Pelodiscus sinensis: one gene and its partner. Each later gene encodes a partner of the first gene's protein in a complex. Links are inferred from orthologs where the notes say so. Each region holds a gene or a part of one and is shown on either strand. Other genes may lie near its edges.

The links.
Region 2: CNOT9 (region 1) and CNOT8 share a complex: the UniProt entries of both Homo sapiens proteins name them as parts of the CCR4-NOT complex. The link is inferred for Pelodiscus sinensis from reciprocal best matches to the Homo sapiens genes CNOT9 and CNOT8.

The regions. Positions count from the first base shown.
Region 1 is NC_134717.1:924,506-932,599, forward strand, and holds the start of CNOT9 (CCR4-NOT transcription complex subunit 9), read right to left. Parts: upstream 3,444-8,094; 5' UTR 3,316-3,443; coding exon 3,292-3,315; intron 3,085-3,291; exon of another isoform or gene 2,929-3,084; intron 1-2,928. Other genes in the region: USP37 (ubiquitin carboxyl-terminal hydrolase 37), read left to right, coding at 5,282-5,437. UniProt on the Homo sapiens protein: Component of the CCR4-NOT complex which is one of the major cellular mRNA deadenylases and is linked to various cellular processes including bulk mRNA degradation, miRNA-mediated repression, translational repression during translational initiation and general transcription regulation.
Region 2 is NC_134727.1:38,148,561-38,156,079, reverse strand, and holds the start of CNOT8 (CCR4-NOT transcription complex subunit 8), read right to left. Parts: upstream 3,282-7,519; 5' UTR 3,050-3,281; intron 2,451-3,049; 5' UTR 2,291-2,450; intron 2,162-2,290; exon of another isoform or gene 2,064-2,161; intron 870-2,063; 5' UTR 845-869; coding exon 728-844; intron 1-727. Other genes in the region: FAXDC2 (fatty acid hydroxylase domain-containing protein 2), read left to right, coding at 3,989-4,054. UniProt on the Homo sapiens protein: Has 3'-5' poly(A) exoribonuclease activity for synthetic poly(A) RNA substrate. Its function seems to be partially redundant with that of CNOT7.

The sequences.
Region 1 (8,094 bases):
GCCTTGTCTACCTTAAGTATCCACAGACTCAAGTGCAAGCATAATAAAAACAGATTTAAAGGATTACTTAAAAGTACAGAAAAATACTTTTATTTAGATTCCACTGCTTTTATAACCTCCGAAATACTTAAAGCAGCAGCTTTTCAACACCAGCAATGCTCACTCAAATCTACATTAAAATAAGGGTCCCACATAAAAGAAAAAAAATTCTCATGTTTTATACAATGAAGAATTTAAAAAAGTATTGCTAGAGAGACATTGTGCTACAAATAGGTGTTGCACAAATCCACCCTGTTCATCTTGCTTGTGTTCCCAAGAACCTCAGCCACTTCCCTAAGTATCTCTCTCAAAGGGAACTCCCTGATACTTTGCTTTGTGAGAAAAATTCTTCCCAGACTACAACCGAGAAGGGTAAATCTGTACCTACACTCAAAAAATCTTTTTAAGATTAAGCAGGACAGTTTTAAAAGTTATTTCCATCCCCCTTCTCCACAAAATCAGTGAAAGGGTAACACAGACAGTGAAGTCTCAGAAATAAAAGAATCACACTGGGGAACCCAGGATTTTAAGATCTCTGGGATTTCCTTTTCAGAGAAGTTAAACTTTCATTAAAAACAAAGTTTCATGATCTTTCAAATGCTCTTTAAAACAGCGATATAAACTAAATTCTCTTGCACTAAGTAAAGTAGCAGCTTGGTAGTTTAAGCTCAAAATTTAGGTTTAACTAGATCTCAATAGGACTATTTTCTTGAACGTTAAGCCAACTAGTTGCAGTGTATTTGGGTTTAAGTATTCCCTTGCAATCTCCTCTACAATTCGTCATGCTCAAGAACTATGAAGTGAAACCAGCTAGTACTAGAAGTGAAACTATACAACTGGGATCAATCTTTACCGAACTGTAGAGGTTAGAGATGCATATTAGGGACTAAGTCTTTGGGATACCATTCTACAGACTCGCTTCTCAATATCAGCAAGTGTTTCTTGACATTTCGAAAATTTTTCCCTCTGTTTCATCCATTCAATCCCATTATATACCATGCACATTCTAACTAACTCTCTCACCTTTGGTATTTATAGGATCAAGAACCTGTAGACTTATTAACTGTTTGCTCTTATTAACTTAGGAAAGTATTTATTTAGTGCCATCAGATGATCTATAGATGTATTATCCACACTTGATCCCTGCCCTGCAAAGCTCGCCATACATTTTAACTCTTCAACTTTCCTCAAATCAATCCTTCTCTGACTCTCTTGTCTGTTTTCCAGATTCTTTTTCAGATCCTGAAGCCAGGATATTTCGTGAGCATGGTGAACTGTGACAAGTGTAATCCTATTAGCACTCCCTATAAGGGGGCTTAGAAATACAGGGAAAATGGGAAAGTCTACTTTGTGTTTGTTTATGATGGCAGGCTCTTGGAGAGCTATACGTTCAGGCCTAATTCACTAGACATATTGAAAGCTTCAGTTCACGTTAACAGTTCAAATACACTCACTCCTTAGCAACGCAGGCATACATCCACAGTGTTCAGTGCCTTCCTCAGTAAGAATCAAATTTCTCCCCACAGATCATACAGATTCCCATCTGATGTTATTTTTCTCTGTACATCCCACCTATATTTCATGCGGTTGTTGATAAAATCATCTAATTTTTAAACTGCTGTTCTCAAGGCTGAAGGTATCATTCTCCTTCCCTAGGATCTTGGGTAATGCCAAATATCACAAACATTGCAGATACATATTGATCTTACTAATGCACTCTGCTGTGCTTCATGCATGCAAGAGTGAGGTCATAGCTGTTTTAAAACACCATACACACTGACCATTTGTGGATCACTGAAGAGCTCAGGACACAGTGTCTGCCAAACTGCAACTCTGACTATTACATAATAAGGATGTAAATTGCACTTAATCAACTAGTCGATTAGTTGATGGGGGGGGCGGGACTGCAGAGCTGCAATGGGGTTAGCTCCCGGCCCCGGGCAGCTAATCCCACTGCGGCTCTGCCTTTTAAATGTATTAAGAGCTGCCAGGCTAGTCGCTTACATCCCTATTACATAGCAGATTTGATTTTACATAATTTAAGAAACAGTCTCCAACTGGCAACTGCCTTGAAGCATTCTAGGTAAAAACATCAATACATACATACAATTGTCTATTTTCTGCCTATATTGTTAGATTTTCAACACGGTAACACCAATATGAAGCCTTTATTTAACAACAATATTGCAAGGCACTGACTGATTTGTAAGTTCACGCTCATGCTTCTATATCAAGTTGTCTGTTTTTATTGTGTTTGCTCCATTCTCTGGACCTCCCCTTTGTTACGTTATGTTCTTTTCAGATTAGCACTCTAAATACAGACTGTACTGGTGGTCTCGTCGTAAAAGGCCAGTGCTCCACCTTGCTCAACCAAGGATAGCGTTGTGTAGTGCAGCCCCCCCCTGCAGACAGCTGCATTTACCAAATGTAAATAGCAGGAGAATGAACCTGAAGTATATTCGATCACAGCGCACAAAGCTATGGGATAGTGATAGAAATGTAGCCGTGTTAGTCCTGTTCTTTGTTTCAGCTACACCAGGCTATGCAGCAGTATAAAGACTCACAAGATGGTTTATTAGGTGATGAGCTTTGGTGGGCCAGACCCACTTCCTCAGATCAAATAGTGGAAGAAAATTGTCACAACCCTTTGGTATCTATGGTTCTGACAATTTTCTTCCACTCTTTGATCTGAGGAAGTGGGTCTGGCCCACGAAAGCTCATCATCTAATAAACCATCCTGTGAGTCTGTAAAGTGCTGCCTAGTCCTGGTTTGTCAAAGCTCTGGGAGACTTGTTCAAAGGCGCCCTCAGCCCCCTCGCACGGTTTGAAAGGACCCATGAAAACCGCGACCCCGCCGCCGTTTCACCATTTCGCGCGCTCCTGACTCACTGCGCGGCGGCGCGATGTGGAGTCCGGGCTAGGGGAGACCGAGCTGGGCAGGGCACCAGCTGTCCAGAGCGGCTAGGGGAGGGGGAGGGGCCCTGGGCCAGGCCGGAGGCTCGGGGCTTCCCTGGCCGCAGGGGAGGCTGCGGGGGGCGCGGGGCCGCCACGAGGGCCGGGCCGGGCGGATCTCCAGGCCCCTCCGGCCCGCAGCGACTCCGCCCGTGCGGGAAGCGCCGCCTCGTGCTGCCGCCGTTTTGAAGCCCGCCGGGGGGGCGGGGTCTGTGCCCGGGCCCGCCCGCGGGGAGCCCCCCCGGCCCCGCGTCGCTGCCCGCAGGGGCCCGGCCGGAGGGGGGGGGCGGGGGGACTCACCGCGGCCGTGGCCAGGCTGTGCATGTTCGGAGCCGCCGCCGCCCGGGCCCGGGATCAGGAGGCCGCTGCCGTCGCCATGGGGCCCAGGCCGCCTGCGCGCCGCCCTGACCCCTGCCCTCCGCCCTCTCACCCCGTCACGTGCTCCGCGCCGGGGGGGGGGAGGGTGAGGCGCCTGCGCGCGGCGGCTTGTGGGCGAGCAGGGCGCGCTCTGCGGGGCGGCGGAGGGCCCGCGGCGAGCCTGCGCGCAGCGCCGTGACGCCACCGCGCGCGCGTGCCGTACGTGCCGCGTCTCGCGCGGGGCGTCTCGCGCGGCTGCCCGCTTCCCGCCATCTGCCTCCCTGAGGAGCGAGCGCAGCGCCCGGCGGGGCCTCGCGGGACCCGAGCGGCAGGTAGCGAGCCGCGGCCCCCGCCCCCACGGGCCCCCTCAGCTGCCCCCTCCCCCTCCGGCCGCCTGCAGCCGCGAGAGCCCCCGGTCAGCCCGGCCGAGCCCTTCCCCCGCCCGGGCGGGGCGCTGTCCGGGCACGGCAGGTGGGGGGGCGGGGCGAGTGGGTCACTCTCCCCCCCCCCCCGGCGCGCGGGGCAGAGCCCCGGGGGGGGGGCAGAGCCCGGCCGCGCGCTGCTCAGTCCCTGGGGCCCGCTGCCCTCCGCGCGCGCCACAGGTGCCCCTCGCGCTGGGCTGCCCCCACGTGACCGCTGCCCCGTCTCCCCCCCGCCCCCCCCGGTGGGTTTTGCCGGTGAGCGCGCGGGGCGCGGCACGTGCGCGGTGTGGCGCTCTGAGCGCGCGGGGACCCAGCTGGCCCCTGTGCCTGTCGGGCTCGCCCCGCAGAGCCGCCCTGCCCTGGGCACGGGCCTGTGATGCCGCTTCTCGGCCTGTGCAGGAACGGCCTCCCCTTCCCCGGACTCTGCCGTGCACCCGCTCACTGCCCCGAAAGAAACGCCCTTCGCACTTGAACCATTGCGAGCCCTGCTGCCTGGTGATTGTCGCTTGCGTGTCCCTAGCTTGTATTGAACTGCATCCCCCTCAAAAGTTAAATAGAAAAGGGCTGTGTGTGTGATCCTATGCAAAGCTTCCTTCCTTCGTTGGTTTTAATCAGACAGTTCCTATCAAAATGTGGATTATTTAAAGAGTAATTTGTCACATTGTTTTAGTAATTTGTATTAACGTTGCTTAGCAGCCTCAGTCAAGTTGGAGTCTCGTTGTACAAAGTGCTGTACCAATATCAAAACACAATCTATAACCAAAAGATGATAATCTAGATCAATGACAAGATGCAACAGGTGGCTGAGAGAGAGAAACAGGTGACGTTGAGGTGACAATAAGTAAAACTTGCAAATACAAAGAATAAATTTTATTATAAAAAGTCAGTTTCTCATTAGAGGTTTTATTGTCCAATTTTGGAAACCAAATGGTTTCTTGGAAAATTTGTTGTCTTTTCCCCCTCATCTTTCCCTGCTTGCTCTTAGCTCAAGATCAATTTGTTTTGGTAACTCTGTAAATGTCATTCTTAGACTTGCAAGATCTTTCACTGTTTGTACTGAGTCATCTCACTCAGTGTTAAATATTTAGGGATTAAAACAGAGTTCCCCAAGGTGCGAGGCATTCCCCACATCAAGGCCTCAGCTCTACTCATGCCCCTGAGTCTGGCCTCCAACTGTGACCACAGCCTCAGGTTCCTTACTTTTGTCTACATTTCCTCCCCTTAGCCACAGTTTTGCCCCCAGTCTGGGTAAGGAGCATGAACCCTGAAGAGTCTGGAGACCACTGGCTTAAAGTAATGCTGGCCAAATTATGGAAGATTTCCTAATACATATTTCATTTACTGTATTCTATTTTTTCTAGACTCCTGCAAAAAATGCTGTTCCTGATTTTTACACTTTATGCAGATACTTTTATTTGCTAGTTGCCAATTTTAATTTTTCTTATTTTTAACAGGATTCAAAGTGAAGTAAATTTAGTTCAACTGTTTTAAGTTATTTATCTGCAAGAAAAATGGCTCCACTGAAGGTGCATGGGCCTGTACGGATGCGCAGCATGCAAACTGGGATTACAAAATGGAAAGAAGGAAGCTTTGAAATTGTGGAGAAGGACAACAAAGTGAGTTTAGTCGTTCACTACAATGTTGGAGGAATTCCAAAGACATTTCAGGTACTTCAGATATCAAGGTGTTTTATATGAGCAATGCATGGATTGTTCCCTTTTGTGAACAGCTTTCATCTCAAAGACTACTAAGTATCTCACAGACTTCCCTCTGTTACTGTTTCTTGGTTTTCATTTCTAGAACATTAATCCTTTTGTATAAACATACTTTACAGTATTCAGGTGTATCATTGGGTAGAATGCCAAGGCAGGAGTGGACAAACCAATTATTGGGAAGAAATGAAAATGCTTAAGACATGAAAGTAAAATGAACCAAACACTATATAGTATCTTGTTATTTTGTATTCGCTTTTTTAAACTCTTTTTGCTTATTTGACAAACTTTCAGACCATCTGTGTGGCGATTTATTAGGTCACGTATGCCTTTTCTACTACACTAGTACTTTTTCCAGTGGAAGTGCTGAACATTTCCAGTGTAAATATACCCTTAGTCCAGGTGCAAAACTCTTCACTGTTGTACATCAACTACACTTCTGTCCAGTCTAGGTTATTAGTGTGCCAAGAAACTTGATTTTCACCACTTCCTTTTGGAGCTTTGATAGCTCTTGCTGTCAGAAAAATAAGGTTCATACCAACTATAAGGCGATAAGTAAAATGTGTGCACTTGATGATATTCATATTTTGGGACAGGAAACATTAGGAGGAGTTTTAGGCCTTTTTTCTGTCTTCCGGTTCAGATTAATCAGAAACCTCTTCATCTGCAGATTTGGGAGATCCTACTGTCATGTTATAGAGGCAAATTGAACTAAATCTTTCTCTCGCTTCAGTAACTGGCAGCTCTTCATACTTGTCAAAATTACTTTTTTATTTGTTAGTGGTGTCTAGAAGCCACAGTCAGGTTGGGGCCCCATAGTGCTAGATGCAGATATAAAGTAAAAGATTATCTTTGTCCCAAAGAGACTTTATAATATAGTTTAAACGAGTCACAACTGGTGGCTGGAGAATATGGATGATGATGAATGCTGTTAAGTCATAAGAGTTTTTTGTGTGTTGTAATAGGTTTGACCTTGAATGGTCATGTGGTTGAAATTCTTCTCTGCTGTACTTATTTTAGGGGAGAGTGGAAGATTTGAAGGCCATCCTTAAATTCTTCCTGTACTGAAAATATTTAGTTAACCAAAAAAGCAAGTATTGGGTATAAAATAAGTCTGATGTCAGTACCAGGCAACTTAGTTTAACCAATAGTAAAGAATAGAATTGTCAGACACATAGATGAACATAGTTTGTTGGGAAAAGTCAACATGGTTTCTGTAAAGGGAAATCATGCCTTACTAATCTACTAGAGTTCTTTGTGGGCATCAACAAGCATGTGGACAAGTATCAGAAGGGTAGCAATGTTAATCTGAATCTGCATAAACAACAACACGTCCTGTGGCACCTTATAGACTTGGGCTACGTCTACACTGGCCCCTTTTCCGGAAGGGGCATGTAAATTTCACCAGTCGTAGTAGGGAAATGCGCGGGGGATTTAAATATCCCCCGCGGCATTTAAATAAAAATGTCCGCCGCTTTTTTCCGGCTTTTAAAAAAGCCGGAAAAGAGCGTCTACACTGGCCCCGATCCTCCGGAAAAAGCGCCCTTTTCCGGAGGCTCTTATTCCTACTTTGAAGTAGGAATAAGAGCCTCCGGAAAAGGGCGCTTTTTCCGGAGGATCGGGGCCAGTGTAGACGCTCTTTTCCGGCTTTTTTAAAAGCCGGAAAAAAGCGGCGGACATTTTTATTTAAATGCCGCGGGGGATATTTAAATCCCCCGCGCATTTCCCTACTACGACTGGTGAAATTTACATGCCCCTTCCGGAAAAGGGGCCAGTGTAGACGTAGCCTAACAGATTTATTGGATCATAAGCTTTCATGGGCAAAGACTCACTTTGTCAGATGCATGTACTGATGCATGTGGACAAGGGGGATCCAGTGAGCACAGTGTACTTAGAGTTCCAGGAAGCCTTTGACAAGGTCCCTCACCAAAGGTTCTTAAGTAACTTGTCATGGGATAAGAGGGGAGGTTCTCTCAGGGCTTGATAACTGGTTAAAAGATAGGAAAAAAAGGATAGGAATAATGGACAGTTTTCAGAATGGAGTGAGGTAACTAGTGGGGTCCCACAGGGGTCTGTACTGGGGCCAGTCCTATTCAACATATTCATAAATGATCTGGAAAAAGGGGCAAACAGTGAGGGGGCAACATTTGTAGATGATACTAAACTGCTCAAAATAGTTAAGACCAAAGCAGACTGTGAAGAGCTTCAAAAGGATTTCACAAAACTAGGAGATTGGGCAGCAAAAGGCAAATTAATTTTAATGTTGATAAATGCAAAGTAATGCATATTGGAAAACATAATCCCAACTACACATACAAAATGATGGGGACTAAATTAGCTGTTACGACTCCAGAGAGATTGTAGAGTCATTGTGGATAGTTCTCTGAAAATATCCACTCAACGTGCAGCAGTAGTCAAAAAAGCAAACAGAATGTTGGGAATAATTAAAAAAAAAATAGAGAATAAGACAGAGAACATCTTATTGCCTCTGTATAAATCCATGGTATGCCCACATCTTGAATGCTGCGTACAAATGTGGTTGCCTCATCTAAAAAAAATATATTGGCATTGGAAAAAGTTCAGAAAAGGGCAACAAAAATGGTTGAGGTTTG
Region 2 (7,519 bases), on another chromosome or scaffold:
CTAATGATGATAAATATCCCATTTTTAAGTGTGCTCAGAACGGATGTGTGACCTTGTAAGGGAATTTGGATATCTTGGGGTTTAGAGACACTTAGTGAAGATAAAACACATGGTTTTGTTTTGAAGGACTGAAAGCTCCTGCTACAAAATTCCCTTCCCAAAACTGTGTGTCAACAAAATTCTTGGGTCTTTTATACATTTATCAGAACAAGTCAAAATCAGGCTCAAGCCAAAATCATTCTCTTTCCTGATCAGGCACTGCTGCCTTATTACAAAAAGAGAGTAATCCTATTAGCTAACACGTTGTGACTTGTGTGCCTGTTGCCATATATCAGCAGGAAGCCAATATGAACCTGCCATTCAAATTAAAAATATGCTAACTACATTAAACAGCTTAGAACCAAGTAGGCATGTTTTTAAACTCTATTGTATGAACAAAAAAAGTATTTACAGATTTCATCTGTTCAGCATGCCCTCAATCCGCACTGTCTACTTACGTGATTTCAGAGAATCTACAAAAACTCTAAGCAAGATATTGGAAGAAGACCATGTATTTTTAAAAAGTCATGTAAAATTTTAAATGCCAAGCTTCTTTCCAACTGTTCCCCCTTAATATTCAGCTTAAACGGACCCTGGAATGCTTATATTTATGAATAAGTGAGTAAGCTACCCACACTGAAATTCTCAGGTTAGTCAGCAGATGATCACTGAAGTACAGCATATTTACCATTGCAATGTAGCTGTAGCTGAGAACTATTTCTCGAATTTTCCTCATCTCCTCTTCCAGATTGTTTGCCCATACTTCACATATAACCTGACTGTTCTCCACAAGTGCTGCTGGCATCTTGCAGGAATTGGAGTAGAAGCACCTAATATCAAAATTGGAAAGTAAGTAGGGTAGTGTAAAACCTAACTGGCATAGCGCAGTGAACACACACAAACATGCTACTTTGCATTAATACATCTCAACAAATCAGAACAAAAATACAGACAGTGAGTTAGTATGGAATGTTTCTAGTCTGGAGTATCCCTTTCAGCTGGCATATCTGAGTTATTAAAATAAATTCTTTTCTGCTTTTAGAACATTTTTGTAATATGCAGTAAACTTCTGTTTTAAATTGGCAGAAGATATCCAGGATTACTAAGTCCAACTGAAACAAGTCTGCACACTTCAAGTATAAGGCCTATTTTTGCAAACCTAAAGAAAACTAATTAGGGATGTAAGTGACTAGTGGAGTCACTACTCCCCCCTGTTGCTGCCTCTATCAGAGGCAGCAATGGGGGGGGGGGGGAACAGGAGCCAGTGCTGGGGGGAGCCAGCTTAAAAGCAGGTTCCCCCCCAGCACCATCTTTGCAGGGGAGGCAGAGGTGCAGCAGGCAAATGGGCGCAAGCCAGGACTCAGCTGTCCCGGCTCGCACCCAGTCCCCCGCTGCAGGTCTGCCTTTTAAATGTAGTAAGAGCCGGGCAGCTCCCAGGGCAGGGAGCTAACCGTGCTGCAGCTCTGCCGTTGCCCCCTTTAACGACTAATCAAATAGTCAATGGAAATTCCTAATCCACTACTCAATTAACTCATTAAACCCAGTTTATCAGTCTTAGAACTAATACCTTAATTTAGTATTGCTTTTGCTACAGTGTTTTTCTCTTAGGGCTAGAAAGTGAGAATAAATAGCTTCTTACTACACTGTTATTTGTAAGATGTGTGCTGCTCTGTTTCAATTCCCCAAGACCTGTTCTACAAAGATTTTGCAGAAGTTTAACTATTCCATTAAGGATTGTGGTTGTATGCTGATAATATTACATCAGTACAACCACTTGTGTGGACAGTATTAACAGTTAAGATTATTCTAATACATTTATGAGACAAAATACATTGGTATAACTGCACTCCCTAAGGGGATTATGCTGATAGTTAAAGCAGTATGAAAACCAGGGGTAGACGAGAACCAATATTATACCTAGAAACAACATGCAAAGCATCTAGAGTTATTTACAGAAGCTGCAGTGAAGCCAAACAGTCCATCAAAAGCTTTATAAAAGCAGATACTGATCAATATTGTTTTACCTGTCAAGGAACTACTGTTTTTAAGTTTAATGTCATCAGTGTAGGCCTTTCGGTTCTTGCCAACTCTAGCTTTCCCAGAATTCTTTTAATGCCGTGATACATAGAAGGGGAAATATACCACCCTTGTAATTATGGTGTTGAAACTTTGGCTTGTTGGCAGCCTTTAAAAGATGAGATACTATCCATGGCTAATTATTAGTGGGCAGGTCTCCACATAAATGGCATACTTGTTGGCAGCCCCAATCAAGCCTCCAAGGATTTGTGGGCAACTCAGGAATGGGATACACAGGCAAAGCTGAAGTCTACATCTACTTCTGACTGGTGGCAGATTCACACTGCAAGAAGTCTGAATGCTACTGTTCTCGAGAAAGAGGGCACACCTGTGATCTGGGAAGGGAACAAGGCTTCCACGAAATTATCCAGCAGCAAGCAGTTGCTCTTTGCCTGGGACTGTCTCATGAAGGGACAGGTAAATCCTTCTTTAAGAGAAGGGGCTGAATCAGGCCACAGGAGGGCAGTGAAATAACTACCAGCGACTTTCCACCTTCCTTCAGGAAGCGGAAGTTACATTTCTCACAACAGAAATAAAAAGCCACAAAAATAATCCATGGGCAACTTTCTGCATCCCAATGCCCCCCACTGACTGCACCCTCAATAGCCATGGGGTCTCTTGGGTTCTGCTCCCCACTGCAGCCTTTCCTATTCCTTCCCCTTTCACCCCCCTCAGGGCCTCCCTTCCTGAGGACCCCCTCCCCCTTGCACTCTCCCACCCCCCCTTCTCCAGACCCCCTCCCCCAGACCCGCTCCCCCTTGCACTCTCCCCTCCCCCTTCTCCAGACCCCCTTGCACTCTTCCACCCCCCCTTCCTCAAGTCCCCTCCCCCTTCCATCCTCAGACCCCCTCCCCTGCTCCCCCCTAATCCCGCCCTTCCCCCCCCCCCGCTCCCGCTCCCGCCGGGGGTGTATAACGGGGCCTCCCCACGGCACCTGCTCTCTCCGCCAGGGCCGTCTCCTCACAGGCGCACAGAGGGCGCGGGCCGGGGCGTGGAGGGGGAAGCGGGGCCGCTCTAGCCGCTCGCGGGGCCGCTGCTCGTCTGCTCCTTCCCGCCCTCCCCCCGTCAGGCGGGCTGGCGGACCTCTCCCGCGCAGCCACACCACCGCCAGGCCGCGTCAGGATTTCCGGCCTGTCCCCCCGCTCTCGCGAGAGTGCACGCGCCGGTGGAGCAGGACGGAGGCCCAGACGGCGCGTGCGCGCAGCCCCCTTCCCGCGGGAAGCGCTGGGTGCGGCGGGGTGATAGGCTGCCCGCGGGCGCGGGACAAAGGGGCGGGGCGTCTGGTTCGAAGTGCGCCGGCGCAAGGGAGGGGGGGGAGCAATGCCGTTCTCCAGCCGTTAACGGCCGGCGGAACGGGCGAGCCCATGGGCGGGGGGGACAGAGCGGTGCCGGGGGGAGCCGGCTCCCTGCGCCCGGCTGGCCGCAAGAGGCGAAACGGGGCCACCGGCTCCCAGCCGGGCCCGCTCTCCACCCCCTACGGACCCCAGGCCCCGGGGCTGACGGGGACCCCCCCCGCTCCCAGCCAGGGACCCCCCCCCGCTCCCAGCCGGGCCCCGGGGCTGACGGGACCCCCCCCCCGCTCCTAGCCGGGCCCCGGGGCTGACGGGACCCCCCCCCCGCTCCTAGCCGGGCCCCGGGGCTGACGGGACCCCCCCCCCCCCCCGCTCCTAGCCGGGCCCCGGGGCTGACACAAGCCGGCCCACCCCCCAGCTCCTACTTCCCCCCCAGTCCAGTTGGGATCTTTGGGGTGGCAGGACTCAGTCCCCCCCTTTCTCCCTTTGGGGCAACCCCCCCCCCGGGTACCCACATTAGGCTCCCAGCTTGCAGCCATTGCCCCCTTGGGCACAGACCTGCCTTGCTTCTTCTGACTGGGATGGTCCAGGCTGCGCCGCGCCCATCTAGACTGAGTTCCCAAGCACGCCTGGGGACGCCTGTCCAGGTAAAAACCCTCCTTGCTGACTTGGGTTTGTGCCAGAACAGCTCTGTGGTCTTTCCTCTGAGCAGGTACATGTATTCGTAAAATGAAAAGTATCATACAGAAACAAGAGTCTTCTCACGTGACAATCAGCTCGCCTGCCCTCTCCCAGCAAAGGCTCCCTACATCCAAGCTGATCAGTCTCTTACATCCCACCAAGGGGATTTTCTGTGATCACAAACGTGTAACAGCTTTGAACCCAGAACAAGCATCTCTGTGAGTCATGCCATTATACAGGTTAGGCCTCTGTTCTTGTCCTCACGAAAAAGGTGATCAGGAAAAAAAAGTCGCATCCTCAGGGTGCAGTTTCAAAAGACTGGGTCTAGAGGTGGGTAATTTGCCTTCCTCTCTTCCTAAGTATTTTCAAGGAAACACATTTAACTAAAAATTCAATCTTGTTTGGCCCATAATTTTAACATAAACAGTTGCAATTTTAATACAATGAACTCTTAAGGTATCTAAAGTTAATTCAATAAGTTTTGTCCAGGTTATTGCTGTGTATGTTTCAGAAATAACAGGGTGTGATGAGCCTTCCCACTACTCTTAGGAGCTAGACTCAGGACAACCCGTTCAGATCTAATCACAACCAATAGCTACGGAAGACTTCACTCTGGCTAGGGTATCGCTGTCTATGCCAGGATTCCTTGGAGACTACAGGCCCAACCCTAGCCTGCCACAGTTAATTGGCGCATCACTAACACGCATCCCCAGCAGATCAGATGCTGAAGCGTAATTCCTGTCCATGAGGACTATGCCCTCCACTTTGCCTCTGGTTTTGCTGCTCTGAAGTGATTCTCAGGGGTCTGCATCTGAGGGAGGGAGATACCTGCCTGTCTGCATCTGGCTTTACTAAAGGAGAAGAAGCCCTTGACTGACAGGTCCCAAGGTTTTTTACAAAACATGAAAGTAGATGCTCTGCTTCAGAGGTTGTTCTCTTCCCATAATTCAGGGTTAGGTGACTTCTTTCATTCTACTGAATCTTGGTTTGGTGCCTTGGTTAGACAGGTTTTTGGAACTCGTTTCATTTCACATATCAGATTTATTTCAGTATCCCTGTCCTTTCATCCTACCAATAGGGGCGACTCTATGGGTGCTCCAGGGCTCAGACACCCACCCAAAAAAAATAGTGGATGCTCAGTACCCAGGACCAGAGCTGGATTGTGGAATGTGATGAGTTCTGTGCTGCTAACAACCTCTGCCCTTGGGGCAGGGAGTTTGTTTATATACAGAACAGGATGATTAAGATAACAAAACGCTTGTCATTAATTAAGAATCATTAGATGATCCTGAAAGCAGTCTCATGTACTCCAGTTAAAAGACAGGAAACAAACCATAGGAATAAATAATCCATTCTCAGAAAGATAAAGAGTGGTGTCCCCAAGGAGCTTGTACTGAGACCCGTGGTATTCAGCATATCCAAAAATGATCTTCAGAAAGGATCAACTGAGGTGCCAAAGTTTACAGATGATACAAAATTACTCAAGATAGCTAAGTCTAAAACAGACATCAAAGAATTCCAAAGGGATCTCACAAAATTGGGTGACTTAGCAACAAAGTGACAGTTGAACTTCTATGTTACATGCAAAGTAATGCATGTAGTAAAATATCATTCCTACTATACCGACAAAATATTGGTGCCTAAATTGGCTGTTACTCATCAACAAAGAGATTTTGGAGTCATTTGCTGTAGAGTACTGCAGATTCATAGAATCTTTCTCTTTGTGCCTGAATCATCCTGAACTCGTTCTGCAGCTTCAGAACACTTAAAAATTATCTCCAGTCATCAATGGGATAGGCACAAATGAATAATTTCTTAGCGTCCTTAACATGCACCAAAACAATAGCAGGGAACCTAGATGTAAATTAGATTGCTTGCAGTTTTATCCGGAAAGCTACAGTGAGATATGTCTTTAAACTGGGATGTTAGTGAAGACAACATGTAGGTGATTGCAATAATTTTAATATACAATAATTCATGATCATCTAATTATGTAATTCATAATAATTGAATCATTCTTACAAAAGTAAAGATGCCAATAATAGGCACATTCAATAATTAAAATATGAAAGTGTTTAAATATATTGTGAAAATAGCCTCCCCCAAAACTGACAGGGTATCTCCCCAAGTGCACACTCCTCTTCAAAAACACCTACTGACAGAAAGAAAAGTCAGTGCCTACGATTGAACCCTTCACACAGACAACTTTCCAAGCACTATGAAAGTAATTTATCATTTTCCAGTAAGTGACCTCTTCCGTGTCAGCATATGTTCATCGTTCTATCACAAACAAAGAAATGGTGCTTTTGTAACTCAGTATTTATTGAACTTTATCATTGAGGCTATTAGGAATATAAAGCTTATCTTTCCAGATTAGTTATTTTTATTCCCTTTTTGCTTTCTCAGCTGCAGCATATAGCCTTTAAGTTGCACGAGTTATACATTAATGCTCTATGTACTACTGGGGAAATTCTGTTCCAAAAATTAAAAGTTATGTGCACAATATTTTAAAATTGTCTATATTTTATTTGTCAAATTAACAATCACACCAGTTTCAATTCTTTTGGTAATTTATTTGAAAATACCTGTCAGCAACTATGTCTGCGACAATAAAGACAAGAAGATTAAGGAAATGTTTTTTGACAAATGGATTCCTTACTAGGTACATTAATAAAGAGCTTTGAGTAATAATTCATTTAAACGACAATATAGAAATGTATTTCCCGCGTCCCTCAGAAGCAGCTCAAAGGCTTGAGGGAGTGAGGGGTAATGGAGGAGTTAAAGGAGAGGGAAGTAATGGCTGGGAATTGCCTAATAGTTTTTTATTTGGGAGGGGGAGCGTTAGGGAATTGGGGAGCCTCCTCCATGTAGACCCTAGTTGACCCCTCAACTCTCCTATTCATTCAGACATATTTGCCCATCCCCATCTGTCCCTTCACTCCCTCTCAACAACCCCTCCTCTCCAAGCCTCATGTTTCCCTGCTATGGATGTGAATGGATAACTGGGTGAGGCTTACAAGATAACGGTTAACCGGAGCCTGGGAGCTGCTAATGGCCCACTGCGGGTGGAGGGCTACTCCAGCCCTGCCAGGTCCACTCGCTGCAGACTGGGGTGAGAGCTGGCAGCCTCACGTGAAGCCAGGAGCCCCGTGTGGGGCCCAGGTAGAAGCAGCCCACAGAGCTGACAGCCCTGTGGGATGGGGGCTGCTTCAGCCGGGATGGGACAGTCCCCCACCTGGGATCCCACTTAAAACCAGTTAAACCTCACATTTAACTGGTAAACTGATTAAATGGGATTTTACATTCCTAGTCCCTGCACACACACCCATTCCCATGTGTCCCTGTACTCCCACTTAGCCACCACTCTGTCCCCCCATCCCAATTTGCCCGTGCACCTCCCATTCAGCACCCAGCCTAGTCTCTCCCCTCAT